Cricetulus griseus: one gene and its partners. The protein of the gene in region 1 interacts with the protein of each later gene in a biochemical or structural test. Links are inferred from orthologs where the notes say so. Each region holds a gene or a part of one and is shown in the gene's direction. Other genes may lie near its edges.

Region 1 (3,648 bases):
CCTGAAGAAGTCTGGCTGGGATGTGATTGGAGTGTCTAGGGAGGGACCAGATGGGACAAGGTAGGTGAGGAAATGTTTGAAGTCAGTTTCTTTCCATCACTACAGTTTCTGATCCTTGTAGTTGGGAATTACTGCAAGGATGAGTGGATGGTGGACACTGATGATAGACATACAGAGGGGCCTGAGATCCGGGTCCATGTACTAGCTGTGGAGTCATGTTCCCCCAGTAAACACGGCAGCCCTGACGCAACACAGCTTCATGAGTGCTCCCTGTGTGTCACTGAGCCATTCTGTGGTTTTTGAATTGTAGCAAAATACAAATGACAGAAAATTCATCTCTCTTAACTAGTGTATAGTCCAGTGGCATTTAAAATGTCCCTAGTATTGGGTGGCTGTCTCTACTGCCCATCCACACAGTCCTTTCGTCTCTTCCAAATGAACCAATTCAGTCATACTGACTCCCTGTGGCCCTCCTGTGCCCGTGGTGGCTCTCTTCTGCTCTCTGCCTTGGAATTTGCTCCTTGTGAGCCAAGTCCCCAGGCAGAGGCTTGGATTGGTCTCTTTACATTTAATGTTAAGTATGAGTCCAGAAGCCTCACCTGACATTGAATGGGTCTAACCACTCAGAAGGTCCAATGGCCTCCCTGCTTCAGGTACGGTGGGTTCCTCACCACGTGGGACTTGCTATTTTTCCAGGCATTTGGGGCTGTGGGAGCCATGTCTGACCGACTCTGCATCCACACCAATGGCCATGTCAATGTGGAGGTGTCTGCTGAGGACCTGCTTACCTGCTGTGGTAGCCAGTGTGGGGATGGGTAAGTGTTGGGCATCTTTTCCTGGAGACCCTAGCCCTTCCTCCTTTGTACTGAATAACTCAGGGCTCCCTGGGGAGAAGAGAGCTGTTTCTGTGGCTGGGACAGAGGGAGACATAGGAGTCTGCAGGCAGACTCTGTTGTAGCTGCTGCTGTGGAGCTTCTCGGGCTGGCCAGGCTGGCCTCAGATTCATGGGGATAGAGTCTTGGCAGAACATGGTCTCTAAAAGTTTTGCTTGCTTCCTGTTCCCTGTCTGGCTTATGCCCCACTGTACCCCATCACTTCCTCTACTCACACCCCCAACTCAGGGAAATATACTGGTCCGCTTTATAAGGATGACAGATCCCAGCTTGGGGGGTGAGGGTGGGGTCACACTAAACTCAGTCCGTAACTCAGGTGCTTACCAGGGTCGCCTGGCCCTTAGTCTATAACAGTGGTGCAGTTAGACATTCCTGAGAGTTCCAGAAGAAATGTGTGTGGGCCTCACACCAATAGTGTAGGAACAGCAGGAAGAAGGAGGCAAGTGATTCCCACTTCTCCCCAGGCAGAGCCTCACACTTCCATATTCTGCCTAGTGCATTGGAGCTGAAAAGACACCATACCCCGTTTTGCAAGAGGTTCTCCTAAGTAGAGCCCACCGCACCAGTATATGCCTTAAACCCAGAGCATAACCCTGTATTTTGCCTGTCCCTTTACAGCCCTGTTTCCATCTTAGCTGAACATATATTCACTGTGACCATAAGTCTTTAGAGTCCAACCGGTGGCAGTGAAACCAACACGAATCCCCCCTTTCTTCATAATTTAAGGCATAGAAGAGTCACTCCTACCGTAGATCTTAGCAACCTGAGTTTATGATTTTCTTTTCCTCTTCAGAACTTGTGCCTTTTCACATGAAGGCATTTACAGCTTCCATTTGGCATGTCTGAGCTGCCTGCGTCACAGCTCTTAGACTTGGCCATCAAGGATTACTTGAACCCACACTGCAGCATCACAATTGCAGTTGGCTTTTTACTCTGCAGTTGGCTTTTTACTCTTCACTCTTTAGGGGCTTGCCACCTAGCTCCCAAATAAATACACGGAGACTTATTCTTTTTTTTTTTTTTTTTTTTTTGTTTGTTTGTTTTTTTTCGAGACAGGGTTTCTCTGTGGCTTTGGAGGCTGTCCTGGAACTAGCTCTTGTAGACCAGGCTGGTCTCGAACTCACAGAGATCCGCCTGCCTCTGCCTCCCGAGTGCTGGGACTAAAGGCGTGTGCCACCAACGCCCGGCGACTTATTCTTACTTTTGAATGCCTGGCCTTAGCTTGGCTTGTTTGTAGTCAGCTTTGCTATCTTGAATTATCCCATCTACCTTTTGCCTCTGGACTTTTTACCTTTCTTCTCTTTCCTTCTTAGTCCATGGCTGGCTATGTGGCAGGGTGGCTGGCCCCTGGTGTCTTCTTCTCCTTCTCTTTTTTCTCATTCCTCCTATTTATTCTCTCTGCCTGGCAACCCCACCTATCCTTTCTCTCCTGCCTAACTATTTGCTATTCAGCTCTTTATTAGACCAATCAGATGTTTTAGGGAGGCAAAGTAACACAGCTTCACAGAGTTACATAAATGCAACAGAAAGGAATGAAACACATCTTTGCATCATTAAACAAATATTCCACAGCATAAACGAATGTTACATATCTTCAACTAATATTCTACAGCACAGAGCTATATGGATTTGATAACCAAGATGGCTCTCAATTGACTAGAGATAGTAGCGTATACAGTTCTCTGCTGAATGGACCAGGAAGTGTGAGATTTTTATCATGCTACTAAGAACAGTGTGCAATTTAAAATTGAGGAATTAATTTTGGAATTTTCCCCTTAACATGTTTGGACCTGAGATAAAACCTCAGAAATCAAACAACCCAGGCATGGTGGTGCATGCCTTTAGTCCCAGCACTCGGATGACAGAGGCAGGAGGATTTCAGCCTGGTCTACATAACAAGTGCTAGGACAGCCAGGACTACATTGAGAGACCCTGTCTCATAAAAAGAGAAAGAAAGAAATGAAACTACAGATCAGGGAGGGGGCTATTATACTCAGGAAATTTTAACATACTGTGCAGTTGAGAACCACTGTTCCATAGAGGGGAGTTTTGAAGGTCAGTTTGATATGGACATGAAAAAGAGAGTCCTTGTGGCCTGGAGGACACTTGTAGACAGAGATGGAGCTGGGTTGGGTCCCTGGTGGGGTGACAGTAAAGATGAATTAGGCTATAGGACTGTGGGAGGGTTCTTATGAGGAAGGTGTATTCCCAGTGGTGAATCTGTAGTGCTATATGGGAACACCTGGAGCTAGCTCAACATTGAAAGAAGCTCTTTTCCAGCTGTAACGGTGGCTATCCCTCTGGAGCATGGAACTTCTGGATAAAAAAAGGCCTGGTTTCTGGTGGACTCTACAATTCCCATGTAGGTGAGTGTATGCCTGCAACCCCTGTCTCTCAGGTGGGTTTCATGGGCAAGTATTTGTGGCTTCCTTTTCTATTGTAAAGGGAAGGTCAACAGTAGAGTGTCAGCTGATTGATAGTTGGCCAGACCACCTTCAATACAGGAGCAGCCACCGGATGTGGACATGATCTGGCTGCATCCCAGCTCTGACTGGCCTGGGGAGCCTTGCATTGGGGGATACGGTCTGATGTCATTTTGTCCCCTCCACCTGTCAGGCTGCTTACCATACACCATACCTCCCTGTGAGCACCATGTCAATGGCTCCCGGCCCCAGTGCACTGGAGAAGGAGACACTCCTAAGTGTACCAAGAGCTGTGAGGCTGGCTATTCCCCATCCTACAAAGAAGATAAGCA
Region 2 (4,245 bases), on another chromosome or scaffold:
CCCAAAATCATCTGTAACTCCATCTCCAGGGATCTGACACCTCTGGACTCCCTACACACACACACACACACACACACACACAGAGAGAGAGAGAGAGAGAGAGAGAGAGAGAGAGAGACAGAGACAGAGACAGAGACAGAGACAGAGACAGACAGAAACAATAGTATAACAGAATATGTGGTTATATATGATTTAATAAAAATTAAACTGTAAAACTTGGCTACAAATTATTAAAATGGGCTACAGGGTTAACAAACTCATGGTATAACTCTGTGGATGACATGGTTGGGTGGGGGCTTCCTCCATAGGTGATATTAATCTCAGCATGCAGAAGAAACTGGACCTGAAGTCCAGCCTGGGCTACTTAATAAATTCTAGGCCAGCTTGAATTAAAAAGAAGGAAGGAAGGAAGGAAAGAAGGAAGGAAGGAAGGAAGGAAGGAAGGAAGGAAGGAAGGAAGACAATAAAAGAAACTACAAAAAGGAGCATGAAGCAAATAACAAAAAATAACAAAACAAAAGCAAATACTAAATGACAGAAATCAGGCTATCTTGGGCTGGGCACATAGATCAACTGGAAGATGACATAGCTGGCACCCAAAAAAGCCCTGGATTTAATCACCAGCACCACATAAACTGGACATGGTACATGCCTGCAATTCCAGACTCTGCAGGTAGAGGCAAGAGAACTGGAAGTTCAAGGTTCATAGTGATTTCAAGACCAGCCCAGGATAAATGAAATCCCTTCAAACACACACACGAATCAACAGCAAAATAAAAAAATAAAGATGTTTGTTATTTTATTTTTTGTGTTTGGGGATAAGCATAAGCATTTCAGAAACTAAAAGTCCTCCAGACAGACAGTTTTGCTGTCTTTATAAAGTTAGGTGAATTCTAAGCAACCAGACTTGACATTATTAAGTATCCTCTTAAAAGAACTCTTGAGGTTTAACTTATTTGGCAACTCTGGTTGCATGTGTGTCGCTCCTCATATGATACAACAGGATGAAAAAAAAATTGGCACAGAGAGCAGGGAGGAACCTATACTAACCACGCCTAAAATCTGGGCACACCCACTTGCTCACACCCCCCCCACCTTATCACCTTATCGTTGTCCCCCTTCCCCATCTCTATTCAGCATTTCCTCTAAGGGAGGTGATAAGACTTGCCTGAGGCCACACTCATTTCCCAGTCCCTCAGCTATTGTGGAAGTTAATACATTATATAGGAGGAGTTTATTGGCTCCTTTAAAACCCTGAGTCTCCGTGCTCCCTGATCATTCCCTCTCAGCATCCTGCCCAGCAAAGAAACAACTCACCAGAATGATCCCAGGAGGCTTGACTGAGGCCAGGCCTGCCACACCAGAAGTTCAGGAGATTGCCGACCAGGTAAGTTGGGGCATTTCAGGGAAAAGTTTGATCCCAAATCAAACTTTTGTCATTTGGTTCAAAATTTGGCTCTGTGTTAAGAGTGTGGGAAATCACAGAAACCAGAAATGTATGGGTTTTAATTCAGACTTTTGTGTAGCTAAAGATGGAACATTAAGACTTTTCAGGGAAATGTCAACCTTCCAAAAGTAAACTTGGACAAGTCACACTACAGCTTCAGTTTCCCCATTAACTGAAGGTGAATTTGTAAAAATAGTCTCTAAACCTTTTACGTACAAGTGTGATCTCAGGACTAACTGAAGCCAAGGTGTGAGGCACCTAAGGTTGTTAAGGATTCCTGAGAGGATTCCCAGGGTGCTGTGCGCACCACACCTTTACAGTCAAAATAGAACCCGATGTTTTTAGCAAGTTCATGCACCTTGCTTAACTATCATCTATATAATAAAAATGTGTTGTGTTGCATGTTTTATAAAAGAGAAATGCATGCAAATTATGGTTGTAGGTTTGCAATCTGTCACCTTATTTCCTTACATCATTTTGTTTTCCTCCCTGAACCGTCATCCTGGCAGACAAGATCAGTTTTGTTGTTGTTTGCTTGCCTGTTTGTTTGAGACGTGGTCTTGCTATGTCCTGATTGGTCTAGTACTTAAGTAACCCGACTGGCTTCAAACTCACAGCACTTCTCCTGCCTCAACTTCCTAAGCATCACCATACTAGGTATCATCAGCTTTTATGTGAGTAGAAGAGGTGGGAGGGAGCCTTCATGTTTAGAACACTGAACATTCTAGAGGAGATCATGGGCCTAAAATTCAATGGCTAAATATTTAAAGCTAAATAGTTCTCACTCATAGCTTTATGTCAATAAATACACTTGGAGCATTTTATTTTTGAAGAAGATAATGCTGAATCTTTATACCTTCATTAGAATCTTCACATCAAGTCTTGTGTTCTCAGACTTGAATGTGCACGTGAGTCACTTGTCGCTCTAGATAAAATGAAGACCTGACTGGAGAGGGCTGGACAGGCCTGCAAGTCCGCATTCTCCCAGGCTCTCAGGAGCTACGGCTGCTTCCTCCCTACAGCTTCACTTTCCTGTAGGACAACATATTTGGCATCCTAGGAGACCTGTGAGATGAATTCCAAGGAAAGGTTCTCCATTTCATTTGTAAGAAGAAAGAGCTAAAATAATGAACATAAAAATTGTTTCAAAAGCAAATATCACAGATGAGGCATCATTGCTGTGTATGTCACCTGAAAAAATCCCCCAGCCTAAAAAATCCCCTAAGATGTTCCAGGAACCAGAGCTATGGGGAATAGATAGGGAAATACAGCTATTTGAAATATAGAAGATACAGAAGATTTTAATGATTTTTTTTAATAGTTGATCACTTGGTTAGCTTGAACAATTATTCTTTTTTGAAAAGTTTGGGGGGGGGGTCTTGCTGTTTCTCAGAGTGGTCCTCGCAACCTGATAGGCTCAAGTAATCCTCTTGCTTCTAGTCTCCCAAGTACCTGGGACTACAGGAGTGTGTTATCCTGCCTGGCTAGGATAGTTTTAAGTATATTTTTACTAGTTCTTTGAGAATTTCATATATACATGCAGTGTATCTTGATCATATAATTTTTCCAAGTTAGGAAGCTACCAGAAGGGCTTACCTTGCTAATAACACCATCTGTGGACCACATCTTCGGTGATAAACTTAATTTAGAAGTGTGTTCTTGCACCTTCAGAGAAGTACAATGGGAAATAGATTTTAACAAGGCCACCTCACCCCAGGAAGGAGTTGTAAAAGCCTTGACTTCCATTCCACCTCCCATTTGATCTTCAAAGCCCTAGGGCAGGCAAGGCATTACATCCCATTTTTAGATGATGAAACCAAGACTCAAAATGCTTGAGAGTCAGTCACCCAGTTAAAAAATTTATCTGTCCTTTCCACTGCATGGCCTCAACACACTGGGGAGCTTTTGCAGGTCTGAGGGGAGAGAATGCCACAAACCTGCCTTCTCCATGCAATCCGTGGCCGCGGGTTTAAACCACAATTCACATTGCATAGGCATCAACCATTTCATGGTAGGGGCACTTCCTGAGTCTCTCCTAGGTGTCTAGCATAAGGCTACAAACTGTCGAAGCTACATAAATGGCTATAAGACCCACTGCTCCTGAAAAATTAACAGTATAGAGGAAGTCAAGATATCTAGAGCATATTATAAAATAAAACTTAATTAAGTGCTCTTTCATAATCATAGGTTTAAGACCAAAAAGGCCATTAGGCATGGCTGTCAAACACTTTACTGTAAGGTGAACAAGTACAGTGTGGTGGCTCAGCTCCCAGACATCACTCATCTGTCCTCTCTTGCAGGAGACAGCCTTAGGGAACATTTCCAAGTTAAGGGTTGGGAGGCAGAGACACAGCAGTAAACTGTATATTTTAGGAAGCATTTTCTCAGTCCCATCAATCATTCCCCATCCTCCAAAGAACCCCTCAAGCAGATACTACTGAAATCCTTGTTAAGTCAGGAAATTGAATCAACTCCTCCTAGATTGTAGTTTGGGGGGGGGCCCACACAGTGTCAGGCCAGAGAGGGTTATTGCATCCCTAGAATGATTTGTGGGGTCAAAGAGAAAATCTCCACGACCTGTCATGGAGATATATATTTTATTTTATATATATATATTATATATAATATATATATATATATATATATATATTAAAATCCCCTGTTAAATGTCTTAGGAGAGACAACTCTTGGCTATCTCTGCCCTTTGCAGAGAACTCGGTAATAGAGGGACAATGGAAGGAAGACCCTAGTAGAGAGGAAGGAGAGGAGGGAAGAGGAAAGTACCACGGAGAAGTGGT
Region 3 (4,068 bases), on another chromosome or scaffold:
TTGTGACACTTGCATGGCAGGCACTTTACAATGAGCTATCAATGCAGCCCCAAATTCTTAATTTTTTAAGACAAGGGCTCACTAGGCCAGCTTGCTTAGCCTCTCAAGAGCTGGGATAGAAAGTGTGCACTGTCACATCCAGCTATCAAATTCTGGTATTTTGGTCGATGGAAAAACAAACACTAGAGGGATTGGGACTGAAGGTCATGTTAGACCCTAAGTTAACCTGTAAACCCCACCTGCCCAAGAACCAGTTAACTTCCCGGAATGCTTCCTGGAATAACTTCCTGGAGTTGTAGTTCTTGAAAACAAAGTCTCATGGCAAAGTACCGTGGCCTTTGAGTTTTGTCTTTATAAGCTCTGTCAATGTCAACATGTGTCTTCAGGTGGTGGTCCCGAACAAATTCCATCTTGGTCAGTATTAACCCTTTAATAAAAGCTTGCTTTAGTTCGGTCAAAATGGTGTAACTGTTTTTTCTCTGGTGTGAATCTCAGGATTAACAGTCACTCAAACAAGACCACTGACAGAGGGCATGCATATCGGGGGTCCTCACGGTTCCCAGCCTGTACTGGGTATGAGAGAGTGGGGTCCGGACCTCCCCATTATGTGCCCGATGGTGGGACTGGGATACCCAAGCCCTTACAGCCCAACAAACCTAAGTATGTCCACACCCATTTCATTCAGGAAGAATGGATTTCCCAGATCAGATCATGGGGGATCCCCATAGGCTCTTATTTTATGGGGTTACCAGGACCCACAAACTCAGGACACCAGGGGAGAACTGGGACTTTAAGTCATCGTTCATCTCTATTTTTGTGCCCACCCCATGGAAGGGGGGCTAGGGACCCACCCAGCCCCCTCTTTATGTCCACAGGGCAAGGGGGAATTGAGATGGCCATGGAAAGAATGAGGGTTCGGATGCTCCAGTCACTCCGCACTACTGAGGGGCGATCACCACTCCCAGCCTTCTACCCCCACTTAGTGCCCATCCGGGGAAGGGGCCTGAGGTATCCACTGGGCTGCACTCTCCGCCCACGCCCAGCCTGGATCTCAAGACTGCCTAAGATGTAGGAGTGAGGACATTGGAGAGAGGGAGGGAGGGTGCGGCGCCCCGCCCCGCCCCGTCCCGTCGCTTTGTCACGTGCCACGCGCCCGGGGGCGGAGCCGAGTCAGGTTCTTCTAGGGTCCCGGCACAGAAGCCTCCCCGCTGTTTCCGTCCTTATCTCCTGTCCGTGCCCCCAGGTCCACCGCAGCCAAGATGATGTGTGGAGCGCCGTCCGCCACGCAGCCGGCCACGGCCGAGACGCAGGAGATCTCCGACACGGTGAGCTAGGCCCAGGACAAGAGCCAGCAAGAGCCAGGCCCTCGGGGACCCGGCGGCCTAAGGGTCCGGCATGCCCAAACCCGCCCGGGTCCTGTAGCAGGATGCGGGCGCGGTCCCATTTGCGCCTGGGAGCTGGGACTCTGGGCCTGGTTGGAGGATTCAGAAACCGGGACTGGGTCGTGTCTGCGAGAGGACCGCCCACCTCCTAGGAAACTAGGAAATCGAGGTCGGCGGAGGGGTGAGACGTCCCATAAGAGTTCAGGAAGGAGGCTCACACTGCTAGAGCCCAGGGGTAAAATCAGGCTAGCCCGAAGGTGAGGCACCCTCTGACTTCAACCCAGGCCTAAACAAGAGACTCGATGAAGGCCAGCCTGGGCTACAGTGGGAGTCTCTTTCTCAAAATAAAGACTTAGGAATGTATAGCTCAGTGGCAGGACACACCTTACCCCACTCCCTCCGGGAGAAAGAAAAGTTGAAACCAAAAGTTGCAGAACTTGCTAGTTAGTGCCTAGATTTCCTAGTCTGCAGCCAGAGGATGGACCTGGGTGGGAGTTCCTGGTGCATGATTTCTGAGTCCCGCAGCCCGTCCTGTGGCTGTCTGCAGAGCAGACATGTGCAGGCCAGAGAGGTTCAGGGTGTTAACAAGAGAGGAAAAGTTAAACATGTCCACCCTTCAGCATTCCAGCCACCTCCCAAGTCCAGGGTCCTGTCCACCAAGCTGAGCTGTCCTTGGAATGTTTGTGATCTGACCAAAGTGGCCAGGAAGGAGTGAGTCAGCTCCATGAGACCCTGAAAATGAGGAATTGGTACAGACACAGTTGCCCAGCCCTCCCCTGACAGGCCCAAGCAACCCTTGCCTGTCATCATTCTTACTCAGCCTGGGCAGATTTACACCCCTGACACCGAGCTATGTACACTTAAAGGGAACCCTGGCCAGGTGTAGTGTCTTACACCAGCACTCCAGAGGCAGAGATACGCAAATCTCTCAGAGTTTGAAGCCAGCCTGGTCTACATAATTCCAGGCCAGCCATAGCTGCACAGTGAGACCGTGTCTCAAAAGAGGAGCTGTGATCCCCTTTGTCAGTGCACCCAACAGCTTACCATGTCCCCCACTGTGAGGAACACTAGTGTTGATGGCTGGCGGGGGGTGGGGGGGGGATCCTAAGAGAGGCAGGAAAGCACTTGCCATTGAATCTGAGTCATTCTCTTATCACCCACCATCCAGGTGAAATCCCAGCTTGAAGAGAAAGAGAATCAGAAGTTCACCGTCTTTAAAGCCGTATCCTTCAGGCAACAGGTGGTGGCTGGCATCAACTTCTTTATCAAGGTAGGTATGAGTGTGACCTGGGAAAAACTGAGGAAGGACAGTCTCAGAGGATAGCCAAGTGTTCTGCAACTTCTTCCTTTAGAGGGAACACCCTTTAAGAAGACACATATAGCCGGGCGTTGGTGGCGCATGCCTTTAATCCCAGCACTCGGGAGGCAGAGGCAGGCAGATATCTGTGAGTTTGAGGCCAGCCTGGTTTCCAGAGCGAGGGCCAGGAGAGGCTCCAAAGCTACACAGAGAAACCCTGTGTAGCAAAAAAAAAAAAAAAAAAAGACACATATAGGTTCTGAGACGATGAATTTTGGGTCCTGGAGTTCCTGGTCTTGAAGGAAGAGACAAGCATTTTACTGGCCCAGTTGCTGGTACCCTGAGCTTCTCTAAGGCCAGGCTGAGTCTGGAGCTGGGCACTCACCTTTTGCTACTGGGCCCCTCTTTCTCTCCCTCCAGGTTGATGTTGGTGACGAAAAATTTGTGCACTTGAGGGTGTTCAAGCCCCTTCCCCATGAAAACAAGCCCTTGACCCTGTCTTCCTACCAGATCAACAAAAATCGACATGACGATCTGACCTTCTTCTGATTCTGCAGCCCCTTTGCCAAAAACTTCATCTCTTTATTGTCCTTGGGACCAGGAAGTGAATACCCCTCTGTGATGGAGGGGACAGAATCAGGCACCTTCATTTGTGATTCCCAAACTGCATTGTGTTTGCTTTCTTCCAAATAATTATTTTCAGAAAGCTACATCTGATCTCTCTCTAAATATATATATTTTAAAGTCTATACAAACTGTCTCCTTTGTTTAGAATTTTTCCCTTTATTTAAAAATCATAGTCACCACCAGGCAGTGGTGGCACCTGCCTTTAGTCCCTATACTCAGGAGGCAGAGGCAGGTGGATCTCTGTGAGTTTGAGACCAGCCTGGTCTCCAGAGCAAGTTTCAGGACAGCCAAGGCTACACAGAGAAACCCCGTCTTGAAAAACAAAAACAAAAATTAGAGTCACAACATAGATATTCCAATAAAAGGTAATTGTTTACTTGCTATTTAAATTTTTCTACATTTACTTACCATATATGAATATTTACATACATGCCATGGTGTGCATATGGAGGTCAGAGGACAGTTTGGTGAGTATTGTTTCTACCATATGAATCCCTGGGATTGAACTCAGCTCATCAGGGATGGCAGCCAGTGTCTTTAGCCACTGAACCATTCATAAACTTTTACCAGGCTCTGATTTAATTCCCAACATTGTAAAAACAGTTATTTACAGCTGAAATGACCCAGCTGGTAGAGTCCCTTCTGTGACAGGCATGACCTGACCTAGCCTAGGACAATTTTTCTGGCCTAGGGCACTGGAGTGACCAGGTTCACTAAATCACAGCACCTAGGTGGGAGAGCCAGGTCTCACATATGGCATCC

The links.
Region 2: the proteins of Ctsb (region 1) and Csta form a complex in vitro, tested with the Homo sapiens proteins (3 studies listed by BioGRID and IntAct, with this or other methods). The link is inferred for Cricetulus griseus from reciprocal best matches to the Homo sapiens genes CTSB and CSTA.
Region 3: the proteins of Ctsb (region 1) and Cstb form a complex in vitro, tested with the Homo sapiens proteins (2 studies listed by BioGRID). The link is inferred for Cricetulus griseus from reciprocal best matches to the Homo sapiens genes CTSB and CSTB.

The regions. Positions count from the first base shown.
Region 1 is NW_023276807.1:218,172,798-218,176,445, forward strand, and holds part of Ctsb (cathepsin B), read left to right. Parts: intron 1-696; coding exon 697-815; intron 816-3,173; coding exon 3,174-3,259; intron 3,260-3,509; coding exon 3,510-3,648. UniProt on the Homo sapiens protein: Thiol protease which is believed to participate in intracellular degradation and turnover of proteins. Cleaves matrix extracellular phosphoglycoprotein MEPE. Involved in the solubilization of cross-linked TG/thyroglobulin in the thyroid follicle lumen.
Region 2 is NC_048597.1:53,561,925-53,566,169, forward strand, and holds the start of Csta (cystatin-A), read left to right. Parts: upstream 1-1,321; coding exon 1,322-1,387; intron 1,388-4,245. UniProt on the Homo sapiens protein: This is an intracellular thiol proteinase inhibitor. Has an important role in desmosome-mediated cell-cell adhesion in the lower levels of the epidermis.
Region 3 is NW_023276806.1:260,434,896-260,438,963, reverse strand, and holds Cstb (cystatin-B), read left to right. Parts: upstream 1-1,154; 5' UTR 1,155-1,259; coding exon 1,260-1,325; intron 1,326-2,550; coding exon 2,551-2,652; intron 2,653-3,099; coding exon 3,100-3,228; 3' UTR 3,229-3,434; downstream 3,435-4,068. UniProt on the Homo sapiens protein: This is an intracellular thiol proteinase inhibitor. Tightly binding reversible inhibitor of cathepsins L, H and B.